4 linked regions of the Saccharomyces cerevisiae S288C genome follow. The protein of the gene in region 4 interacts with the protein of the main gene of each other region in a biochemical or structural test. Each region holds a gene or a part of one and is shown on either strand. Other genes may lie near its edges. The genes, in order: NFS1, ISU1, SOD2 and YFH1.

Region 1 (3,868 bases), on a different chromosome or scaffold from region 4:
CTTGCCTGAAGAAGGTAAGGCCATTGAAGATGCAGTTAAAAAGGTTTTGGATGCAGGTATCAGAACTGGTGATTTAGGTGGTTCCAACAGTACCACCGAAGTCGGTGATGCTGTCGCCGAAGAAGTTAAGAAAATCCTTGCTTAAAAAGATTCTCTTTTTTTATGATATTTGTACATAAACTTTATAAATGAAATTCATAATAGAAACGACACGAAATTACAAAATGGAATATGTTCATAGGGTAGACGAAACTATATACGCAATCTACATACATTTATCAAGAAGGAGAAAAAGGAGGATGTAAAGGAATACAGGTAAGCAAATTGATACTAATGGCTCAACGTGATAAGGAAAAAGAATTGCACTTTAACATTAATATTGACAAGGAGGAGGGCACCACACAAAAAGTTAGGTGTAACAGAAAATCATGAAACTATGATTCCTAATTTATATATTGGAGGATTTTCTCTAAAAAAAAAAAAATACAACAAATAAAAAACACTCAATGACCTGACCATTTGATGGAGTTTAAGTCAATACCTTCTTGAACCATTTCCCATAATGGTGAAAGTTCCCTCAAGAATTTTACTCTGTCAGAAACGGCCTTAACGACGTAGTCGACCTCCTCTTCAGTACTAAATCTACCAATACCAAATCTGATGGAAGAATGGGCTAATGCATCATCCTTACCCAGCGCATGTAAAACATAAGAAGGTTCTAGGGAAGCAGATGTACAGGCTGAACCCGAGGATAATGCGATATCCCTTAGTGCCATCAATAAAGATTCTCCTTCCACGTAGGCGAAAGAAACGTTAACACACCCTGGATAACGATGATCTGGAGATCCGTTCAACGTGGTATGTTCAGCGGATAATAGACCTTTGACTAATTTATCGGATAGTCTTTTGATGTGAGCTTGGTCGTTGTCAAATTCTTTCTTCATCAATCTCGCAGCTTCACCAAATCCCGCTACCAATGGGGGGGCCAAAGTACCAGATCTCAATCCTCTCTCTTGGCCACCACCGGATAGTAAAGGTTCTAATCTAACTCTTGGTCTCCTTCTTACATAGATGGCACCTATTCCCTTTGGACCGTAAATCTTGTGAGAAGAAATTGATAGTAAATCAATGTTCATTTCATTGACATCAATGTGAATCTTACCATAGGCTTGTGCGGCGTCAGTATGAAAGTAGATCTTATTCTTTCTACAAATTGCACCAATTTCTTTAATAGGTTGAATGACACCGATTTCATTATTGACAGCCATCACAGAGACGAGACAGGTATCTGGTCTAATGGCATCTTCCAATTCCTTCAAATCGATAAGACCTTGATCGTCCACATTTAGGAAAGTGACTTCAAATCCCTCCTTCATCATGGCCCGTGCGGCTTCCAAGACACACTTGTGTTCCGTTCTAGTGGTGATGATGTGTTTCTTAGTCTTCTTATAAAATCTTGGGACACCCTTAAGAACCATATTATTAGATTCGGTCGCTCCCGAAGTGAATATTATTTCCTTGGGGTCGGCATTGATCATCTTTGCTACGTGAGCTCTAGCATTTTCCACAGCAGTATTTGTTTCCCAACCGTAAGAGTGAGTGTTGGAATGAGGATTACCATAAAGTCCCGTATAAAACTTCAACATCGTATCCAAAACCCTAGGGTCTGTTGGTGTAGTGGCTTGCATGTCAAGATATATGGGACGAGTACCAAAACCTGTGTTTTCTTGATAAGCATGGCTCATTGCAGTGCTACCAGAAGCTACTACAGCATCTGGGGTGGTACCGGATGCACTCGCACGGGCACTAGCCTGTGCCTTTGCAGCAGCCTGAATATCGGTATGCGTTTCCAGAGAGAAGTTGTCGTCTAACTTCACGCCTGCTGCAGGAGGGGAATAGAATCTCCTGCTTACCAAACAAGCCCTATATGTGGCCGCTGGAACGTTGTAAACTTGAGATAATCTTGTTATCGATCTTGTAGCAGTTGATTTCAACATCTTCCAGTTGTAGCAGTTCCTTCGTGTATGCGATATATTTTAATGAAAATGATGTATCTGAAATAGAAAATATAACACACTAATGAACTCTGTCGGTCTTTACTCTGAGTGAGTTACTTAGATAGTCATCATATATCCCTGGGCGATGGCCTTACTATTTGTCAGCGACCGTATCTAAAATTGGTAGGTCACTATCAACTATTGCGGGTAATAGGGTGCATAATAGTATTGTAATATATATAAATATATAAAGCTACTATGATAGATATTTGTTGCTATTCACGTCATCCACTATTACTTTAGTGGTTCCGCTATATATTCGCATTGCCCATCGAAGGCAGTTTTGTGTGCTACCTGCTCGTGACCACGGTCTTTTTGCCCAGTCTTTTACGGCGGGCATACTTCATGATGAAACTGTCTATTTTCATACCTCTTGAATTTAGTTCTTCAATTAGAGGCTTGATATCCTCCAAGTCCCACTGTGACTGTAGCCTAAACAGGACTTTAAACCGTTCTTTGGGGTCCATTGGTAGTGTGCTTTTCGCTATATACTGGACAGTCTTATCGGTAGGCTTGAAATGATAGCCTCGCAGCATGTCAATGTCAATGTCACATGGGAAGAAAGGTGGGAAAAGGGACTTCCACTTGATGAGGAACTCATCAATTGGCATGCTTATTCCAGAAACATATTTCCTTAGCGCTTGAATCCCGTACCACTGAGCTATAAACGGTATTCTCAAGCGCCACGTATTGTTTTCAGCCTCTTGCTCTTGAACAGCAAATTTATTCAGCACTGTTTCAATGATTTCTCTTGTGTATGGATTGAACTCGTCCTCAATGTCCTTCCCCACAGCGTGATGTGTATCCTCAACATTCAGATGCTGTAGATCGAGTGATTCTGCCATTGCGCTCATCAGTAGTACATGCAGTGCTTTGAAAAGGAAGTCTTGTGAAAGAATACACAACACACCGTCTTTCACAGATCCACCAATCTTATGCCATTTTGATATACCTTCTAGCGCAGAACATGGTGAGTTCTCAAGTAGTTCTTCCAGGGTCCCGATAACCTTTGTAGATGACCTCTTCATGATTTTGTCGGAGAAATCCAGTTCTCCGTTGTATATTGGTACTGAATTCAAGTTCAATTCGCCATGTGTCTCTCTGGTCTCAAATTCTGATTCAGTCTTGGCGAATCCCACGACGTCCATGTACGGCTTGGACAGTCCAAACAAGAGCGTTTCGTCGAAAGTAATAGGTTGTTCAGGAACAAATTCTCTCATTAGTAGAACTGTGTTTGAATGTTTGCGCTGCTTCAGCACCCAAGTCTTGTCGTGCGAACACAGTACAACTTCAGACTTGTCTTTGTCCAATGACTTAAACCTTAACTGGTGATTTTGAACCGGATCCTGTATTATATCCAGTAACTCTGGTGTCAACTGGATCAGCTTATAAGATGGATCATACTCGGGTGCGGAATGTAGGTTGATGGACATGGTACAGGATTATTAGTGAGCAAATCTCTGGTGGATTTTTACCGTTCATCTCATAGTGCTTTTTTAGTTTATTTTTCACTTTTTTCTGGTTATACTATACGCTGCCTACTGAAGCAATAAGCAAGAAACACAACAGTATAAAGGGACAAAGATAATAAACCGCCTACTACTAAATAATATCGCTGTGGTATGCTACTCCTAGAGATTTCGATCACCATCGTGGTGCTCTTTGTCATACGCATAGAATTGACAAAAAAGAACCCTAAGCTATAAATTAGGTCATGTTGAGCGATTGCCAGTTGCCAAGACCTAGGGTTTTGTTCGAACAATTCTAAAAAGGTAAATAAAAACAATGGTAAACAAAGGCTTTGATCTTCA
Region 2 (2,725 bases), on a different chromosome or scaffold from region 4:
ACTGCAAGTGCAGGGGAGGGGAGTATAGGTGTCTGTGGCTTGCTAGCTGTTGGTGCCACTCCTCTCATTGGTGATGATATCTCCTTCACCCGTGGATCAGGAGTCGCAACTGCTTTAATGCCACCAGACTCATTCTCAGTCGTGCTAGTATTAACAACAGGTAATGGTTTCTTGGCAGTGGAAGCTGAAGAAGAGGTAGACCGTTTGCTAAACAAAGATCCAAAAATCGACCTTTTAGTCTTTTCTCCACTAGTCGAGTTGCTTCTCTTGAGAGTAGCATTAGATGGTGAAGAAATTGGCGGGTGCTTTCCCTTGCCAACAGAAGAAGATGCGGTGGCGTTTATGGCAGAACTGGCCAGTCTTGGTTTGGACGAGACCACAGCATTGGATATAGAAGTGGAACGTTTTTTCCTTACAAATTGAGTACTTGAGCCGTTGTCATCATTATCTATAAGGTCTATGGCGTCTACGGTAGCCGGATTATCAATGTCAGCGGAATCGCTCCGGTTACCGCTATTAATAGGAGTAAGTAGCGGTATGTTATCAGTGTCTGATGCAGAGGTATTACCATCGTTCCTCTTCAAATCTGGTTTCTCAGTATTACAAAGTGCTGCATTGGATACAGATGACGACCTCGCACGAGGCTTATCATTGCTAGACCTGTTACCACTCGTGCTATTGTCTCCGTTTTTCGAAGAGGACGTAGATGAAGAGGAGGCTGGCGACGTAGAAGGCCTCGATGGCTTCGTATTTGTCTTCCGTCTACTCTTACCTTTATACAACCAATCTACGGGCACATCGAACTCGGTGTTAGTTATCATAACCTAGATGCTATCTCCACTCCCTATGCTTGCTTTGGTGGACTATTGTTTCCGTTATTCGCAATTTCTATAGGACTACTATAGATTATATAAACTGAATTTTAGCTTTATGCTGTGGTGTTATTTCCCAAAACACGCTCTTCTTTCTTACGCTTTCCGTTAGCTTATTTGCTCACGGTATCAAGATTACTTTTTTTTTTTTTTCTTCTTTTCTTTTTCTTGCACTACCCTCTTCTTCTTGTTCTTCCTTGCGTTTTTACCCCTCTTCCCTTTATTTTGCAGCAAAAAGAAAGATGGAAAGGCAAAAGTGAAGGCATGATGATGACAAACTTGAAAAGAAAGAGAACAGCGAAAAGAGATGAATAATCCATGGCAATGACTGCACGCTCATGGGTATCAATTGGCTAGGTCTAATATTGTTATTGTTTGGAGTATGGCGTAGAGAAGTGGTTCCTTAACCTTAATTAATGCCCGTGCCATGATGATTGCATCACTGAGACGTAATGTGGAAACACCACTTCTCGGTCCGCGGACATCAACCGAAGGAAAAATGACAAGCTATTTCCGTGTATATCCGCGCCAATCCCTTCGGGGCCGAAGTTCGGAGGCTTTATCTCCGCTTAGCCAAGGCCGTCAAAGGCGATAAGGTGCGTTGCACCCCAATTAGCCATGGAGAAGGAAAAAAAAAGCATGTATGATCATGATGATGCAAAAATTGAGAGGAAAAATGACTCAGGCTATTTATATAAGTAAATGAAAGGGTTTCGTTGTAGCCTTTTCTGCTCTCTTCCTTCGCTCTTCCGCATATATATTTGTGTTCAGAGATTATTCTTAAATCCATAAGAACATCCCTTCATATAACAATTGAATAAGGAAAACACAACACATAACACATATTTAACCTGATGCTTCCTGTTATAACGAGATTTGCAAGGCCTGCTCTGATGGCCATCAGACCTGTGAATGCCATGGGGGTTTTGAGAGCGTCCAGCATAACGAAAAGGCTTTATCATCCCAAGGTCATAGAGCATTATACACATCCAAGAAACGTCGGCTCATTAGATAAAAAATTGCCCAACGTCGGCACTGGTCTAGTGGGTGCGCCAGCGTGCGGTGATGTGATGAGGTTGCAGATCAAAGTCAACGACTCTACTGGCGTTATTGAAGATGTCAAATTCAAAACTTTTGGATGTGGCTCCGCCATTGCCTCCTCTTCATATATGACTGAATTGGTACAGGGGATGACCTTGGACGATGCGGCAAAAATTAAGAACACTGAAATTGCTAAGGAGTTGAGCTTGCCCCCAGTCAAGTTGCATTGCTCTATGTTAGCGGAAGATGCGATCAAGGCAGCTATTAAGGACTACAAATCTAAGAGAAACACTCCAACCATGTTATCGTAATGAATAAGAAGATAACCGGGACAAGAACAAGATCAAACCCTCACTAATCAACAAGTTGGACTTAATTTGTGCAAGCATGGATGTTTCTCATTAATATTGTCATATTTCTTTCCCTTAATCTAGCATTTCCTTTCTCTCCCTCTTCTCATGCATATCTTCCTAGATATATTTCTCCAGGGTGAAAGCGGGACGGACGTGCTTGTTTTACCTCACCTGGTACTACTAGTATTTTCATTACTCTTTTTTCATCCTCCCACTTCCCCCTTATATATTTGTTTTCCCATGTGTGGTATATGGCATCATTATTATATAAATATTCTTTAGTTGTAAAAGGCTGTTTTAATTAACACTATTTATCGCTAGACAAAACTAGACTTTCATTATTTCCTTCATTTCAACGCTTGTTTAAACATGTGCTAGGTAAGCGAGTTTTTTACTTTTACTTCCAATAAATATATATATATATATACGTATACATGTATGGGCGGGCTACAACAAAAT
Region 3 (2,915 bases), on a different chromosome or scaffold from region 4:
GCCGGAAATTTCGTATTTTGCTGTGCCCCCGGTAATTCCCGGGCGCGGCACAAAACCTCTCTAAACAACCGCCCATTGTTGCAATTGTTCGTCTGTACGGGACAGGCGGCGATCATAACGTCGCACGGTGCACAGCAATTGCCGTTTTCGGAGATCTCCCTGAGTAAGCAGTCGTTTACGACCTTAATGGCTTTACAATTATCGGTTGGAACAATAACAAGAACAATTGGTTCTCTGCCTGGTGGTGAGTTAATCTGGTGGGAATGTAGTGCACAGGCGCGAGTAACGTAGGAAGCGAGAGAGAACAAGGAAAAAGAAAAAGTGGAGGAAGGTTGGTTGTATTGTCTTTTTCGGTTCTTTTCTTTTCTTTTTTTCTTTTTTTACGATGCATGTATATGTATTTTAATAGTAAAATATATTATTAAATAGGGGAGTGTGGTTGTGTGATTTAGTAGAGTAGTTAGAATAAAAACGACACAGTGGAAAAAAAAAGGTATTTTCTTTCTTTCTTTCTTCAGATCTTGCCAGCATCGAATCTTCTGGATGCTTCTTTCCAGTTGACCACATTCCAAATGGCTTTGAAGTAGTCGGCTTTCTTGTTTTGGTACTGCAAGTAGTAGGCGTGTTCCCAGGCGTCAATGGCAACTAGAGGAACTAGTGGGCCTGTGACGGTATCCTGGTTGTAGGTTTGAACAACGTCCAGCTTGCCTCCATTAGAGAGGTTTTTCACAATGAAGGCCCATCCGGAGCCCTGCACGCCTGCTAGCTTTGTGTTGGTCAACTTAATCAGCTCGTCCAGACTGCCAAACTGCTCGTCGATTGCCTTTGCCAAAGCGCCGGTGGGTGGTTCACCACCGCCCTGCGACTCTGGAGCCAGGTTTTCCCAGAATAGACAGTGGTTTGTGAAACCACCGCCATGGAACTTGATGTTTTGTTGGATAGCAATCATTTTTCTTGCGTTTGCGGGAGAGGGCTCCTTGGCCAGAAGATCTGAGAGTTCTTGGAATTGGTCAACAGCAGTGTTGAATCCGTTCACATAAGTTTGATGGTGCTTGGTGTAATGCAATTCGTTGATTTGACCGGAGATATAAGGTTCCAATGCACCGAAGTCCCACTTCAAGTCTGGCAAGGTGACTTTGGTTCTCCTTGCTGTGGTGGAGAGCAATGACAAACCACCCTTCTTGGTTAAATTAGCAGCTGCTGTTTTCGCGAACATCCTGGTACGTTTTTAGGAGGTATAGTTATCAATTGGGGTTTCGTTCCTGTAGCAGCAAGTGAAAAGCAATCGCTGTAGCTAGCTTGTATATTTTGGGGATGCAACGCTCTTATATACAAGTTATAGCTTCTTCATCAGGGGTGTCTGCTACGGTCGCGGAAATTTTTCGGCACATCCCTACTTTTTTTTTTGCGAAGCTAGTGGTTCGGCCTGTGTTATTGGTCCAGGTTTAAGGTCGCGCCAACAATGATAATAGCAATTAGTAATCAGCTCAACCTCAAGTAGAATACTACACGTGCAATCGGTAGCATGCGCAAGGGCAAACAGGATAGACGCCAAGAGAGAAAGAGAAAGAGAGAGAGAGAGAGAAAAAAAAAAAAGAAATATATAGATTTAGGTATTCGTTAAATATATACACATTAAATGGCCTCAGAAATTTTAAATATATAAATAAATAAGCTCTTATATGTACAAATTTGTGCATATACTTTTCTTGACCTTTTTACTCCTCGGCTTGATTAAGAAAGGATGGTGGCGTCGAAATATAACTTTGGATCCAAACTTGAGATTTCCGCAGAGGTTGCTTCGCCATCAAGGAGAATCTCAGCCATTAATTTACCTGTTGCTGGCGCATTGTTAATACCCCAACAAGAATGTCCACTTGCAATATAAAGATCCTTGACATTTGTCTCACCAATTAAGGGACCAGAACTTGTAGGAACGTTTAAAACTGGCAAAAAACAGGCTTGTTTCCGCAAGAGATGGCCCTTTGATAGAGTTGGCGATAATTTGGATACGTAATGGTACAATTCATCACACTTCTCCGAAACTACCTCCACATCGTCCGAACTTTCAGGTATATTGACTAAAGTGTCGCCTTCGCCGCACACATAAACTTCATCTTTTCTAGCATACATTTCAGGGGAGAAAAATTCACGGTCGTTAACTTTTAGTTCAGCAAGAATAGCGTAAGGTGAAACTGTCTTTTCACTAGGCTTAATGGTGACAGAGTGGGCTCTCAATCCAGAAATTGGACAATCTTTTAGAATCTTGGAAGTCCAGGGTCCCATACTCAAAACAATCTGCTGGATGTCATTGATTTCAATGGGCTTCGCGTTCTCATCGTTGAAGATTGTACCCAGCTTAATGTCTGGATTTTCTGCATGCCCTCTGCTATTTCTGCGATTCTTGACGACAGATGGAAGGTACTTAAGAGAATGAACACAATCCATCTCGTCACACTTTAGCCCAACTACCTTACCTAGGAGAAGATCGACAGCACCTGTTTCCATTGCCTTCGATAAGATGAAATGGGTGAATTTATAGGGATGAAGCTGCGCTGTGGTATCAGTACCACCTAGTGATGACCAATCATTAACCAATTCTCTTCTTATCCAATCTAAATCAGCAGGCAAAGGATTATGGATATTAGTCTCTCTCAGTTGCTCCACGGGACTTACAGAGTCAAGATCAGATGCGCTATTTGTGTGGCTTCTCATGCGCTCATTTGTTAGAGAGTGTAAACTGGGTACTGAGCTAGAAACATGAATGTCTGATCCTTCTTCCTCGTTACTAGCGGAGTCGTTTTTCAAAGAAGAGCCCGAAGAACTCAAAGATGAATTAGAGTCCCCGATGTTAAACTTGTTGGATATGTAGCCCGGTCTCTTCTTTGGAGGAGGGACATTCAGATTATATGCCT
Region 4 (2,618 bases):
TACAACAGTAAATACAACAAGCGCCGTACTATCCGCCAGTTTAGCCACCACAGTAACGGCACCGTTCGACACCATAAAAACGAGAATGCAATTGGAACCATCAAAATTTACCAACTCCTTCAATACATTTACATCTATAGTTAAAAATGAAAATGTGCTGAAGTTATTTAGCGGGTTAAGCATGAGGCTGGCAAGAAAGGCCTTCAGTGCAGGTATTGCGTGGGGTATATATGAGGAGTTGGTCAAAAGATTCATGTAAAAAATAGACACATATTTCATTGCAATCTCGCATTCTTCAAAAAAGGTATAAATACGTGTCTTTTTAGTTTCTTTATAGAGTGACGTTGAAGCTTAGTAGTACGTTCATACATACATACATACACACACGGTACAAAAGAAAAATCATATCAATAACAAGGAAGAGAGACTCTAACTATGAAATAGATTGGATGCGTTACAAGTGTTTAAATAAATATAAGAGAGTCGATGGATAAGTGCACTTATTGGCTTTTAGAAATGGCCTTCTCAACTTCTTCAGTAAGTATATCTGTTAGCTTTGTGCCATTTCTTAACGAAACCCACTCCCCATTGAGAAGGTCAAATCTGTTAGGCCCGGACAATGGTGATGCCAACCAAATTTGCTTATTTGGAGGCTGTTTGTTTATTACATACGTTCCAAAAGCTGGAATTTCCAATGTCATTACGCCATGGCTTAGCTCTACATCAGGTATACAATCCGGATGAGCCTCACTCAGTTCTTCTAAGCTATCTAGTAAATGGTCTAGGTAGTCATCTGCCTCTTCATGGTATTTTTCAAGCGGTAAGTTTAACACTTCTTGAGGCACAACTTGACCATCTGTCGAGGATTCTACAAATCTCTTCTGAAAAGTATTTACAGTATGATTCTTTTTATTTGTTACAGCTGGACAAAATCTGGCACGTTCTCCTCCTGCCGCTGCTATCATATATCTTCTGCCCATTACAGAGCTGACTCGAACTAAACTTGCGAGAGACCGCTTAATCATTGCTACACTCTATCTTCTCGCTTAGTTTTTTTTGAAATACTATCTTTCTGGTATTCAGTAGTACGTAACGATTTGTAAGTGTCTTCAAGCGAGGTTGCTTTCAATTAAAAATGCGATTCAAAGAGATCATTTACGGTTACTAATCCCTCATATCCTATAGGGCTATGTGGACATTGTAAGAAACGTGACTTTTCAAATATGATCACTGAATACGGTTTTTTGAAATTTGTCAAGTGCGATGAGTTGTATCTCTAAATCAAGCACCCATGATCTACGTTTAGTAAAAGAAAAGGACGAATTCCCTTAAAGTTCTCGGTGCCTAAGTCAATAAGTCCGGAGCATGAATCTATACGGTTATTTTTTACTTCTCATTATTGTGATTGCTTTCATTGCATTGTTGCCATTGTTTTCTGGCATCGGTACATTCAAACTAACAAAACCGAAATCGTCTGCAACAGCACAGTCAGCGACTGGTAAGCTTGGTAAGAGGGAATATTTGAAAAAAAAACTTGATCATACCAATGTATTAAAGTTTGATCTGAAGGACACGGAGGAAAGCCTTGGCCATGACAGTGCAAGTGCCTCTTCCGCTTCCAGAAAATTTGAAATAGACTCAAAGACAGGCCTTAAAAGACGTGTAATTGGACAGTACAACAAAGATCCAAATGATTTCGATTTCGATATTGATGACCTAATTAACGAAGATGAACTAGATGAACGGAGAGAAGAAGAGAAAAAGTTGAAGAAGTACAATGGTAAGAAAAATGAAGCTTACGAAGGATTTGTATAATAATGGAAGTGATTTTTGCAATTGTCCTACAAAAACTTTAGACATTCGTAACTAGCTAAACAATTGATTTAACGAATAACGTAGACTTTTAATTATTCAATTTAATTATAGTTATTGTTATTTACACAATTACGGATATCGTATTTATAACTTAGTTTACATCTTTACCAGAAATATCTCTATGGTCTTCTGTTCTCTCGAACTTCATCTGCTCTTGACCTTCCTCTTGCTCTTCACCTTCTCCTTGCTCTTGGCTTTCCTTTGGCTCCTGGACTCCTTTTTGCTCCTGCTCTTTTTCATCATCTTCTTCATTATTACTCTGAATAGCTTCCAAATCATCCTTCATCTTCCCAGTTTCTTCATCAAAGTCATATTCGTAAAATAACATAAATACACCGGGTGTTGAAAGGACTTCAGCTTCGTCCACAACGTACACAGTCTCATCAGATATTCTCCACCAACAACCCCTGTATTTTCTAAATGCAATGTAATGACCATAATTATGGGTACCGTAGTGAACAATGACAGAGCGCAATGAATATGTCAATGGAGTGGCTGGAACTGTGGAAAATGACCTAGCATAATTGATAGGTGGAGCTGGTATAACATCTTCCTCATCAGATGATGTTTCTAGTTGATCTTCAACATTGATCTTTGGTTCGTCAAGGCTCACATTGTCGATTTCTTGCAGTTCTTCATTATCTTTTACATTCTCGTTTTCAACATCAGAATGTTCTATGATCCTTTTTTTGATTGTATTCCCTAAAGCATCGGTTTCTTCAATGTACTCATCTTCATCATCG

Evidence for each region.
Region 1: the proteins of YFH1 (region 4) and NFS1 form a complex in vitro, tested with the Saccharomyces cerevisiae proteins (2 studies listed by BioGRID).
Region 2: the proteins of YFH1 (region 4) and ISU1 form a complex in vitro, tested with the Saccharomyces cerevisiae proteins (7 studies listed by BioGRID, with this or other methods).
Region 3: the proteins of YFH1 (region 4) and SOD2 form a complex in vitro, tested with the Saccharomyces cerevisiae proteins (one study listed by BioGRID).

The regions. Positions count from the first base shown.
Region 1 is NC_001135.5:92,274-96,141, forward strand, and holds NFS1 (cysteine desulfurase), read right to left. Parts: upstream 1,998-3,868; coding exon 504-1,997; downstream 1-503. Other genes in the region: LEU2 (3-isopropylmalate dehydrogenase), read left to right, coding at 1-145; DCC1 (Dcc1p), read right to left, coding at 2,348-3,490. UniProt on the Saccharomyces cerevisiae protein: Catalyzes the removal of elemental sulfur from cysteine to produce alanine. It supplies the inorganic sulfur for iron-sulfur (Fe-S) clusters. Plays a role in both tRNA-processing and mitochondrial metabolism.
Region 2 is NC_001148.4:295,827-298,551, forward strand, and holds ISU1 (iron-binding protein ISU1), read left to right. Parts: upstream 1-1,726; coding exon 1,727-2,224; downstream 2,225-2,725. Other genes in the region: protein phosphatase regulator GIP3, read right to left, coding at 1-821. UniProt on the Saccharomyces cerevisiae protein: Scaffold protein for the de novo synthesis of iron-sulfur (Fe-S) clusters within mitochondria, which is required for maturation of both mitochondrial and cytoplasmic [2Fe-2S] and [4Fe-4S] proteins.
Region 3 is NC_001140.6:122,375-125,289, forward strand, and holds SOD2 (superoxide dismutase SOD2), read right to left. Parts: upstream 1,217-2,915; coding exon 515-1,216; downstream 1-514. Other genes in the region: YHR007C-A (uncharacterized protein), read right to left, coding at 176-391; TDA3 (Tda3p), read right to left, coding at 1,735-2,915. UniProt on the Saccharomyces cerevisiae protein: Destroys superoxide anion radicals which are normally produced within the cells and which are toxic to biological systems.
Region 4 is NC_001136.10:244,330-246,947, reverse strand, and holds YFH1 (ferroxidase), read right to left. Parts: upstream 1,026-2,618; coding exon 501-1,025; downstream 1-500. Other genes in the region: HEM25 (Hem25p), read left to right, coding at 1-259; EXP1 (Exp1p), read left to right, coding at 1,366-1,815; ubiquitin-specific protease UBP1, read right to left, coding at 1,967-2,618. UniProt on the Saccharomyces cerevisiae protein: Promotes the biosynthesis of heme as well as the assembly and repair of iron-sulfur clusters by delivering Fe(2+) to proteins involved in these pathways.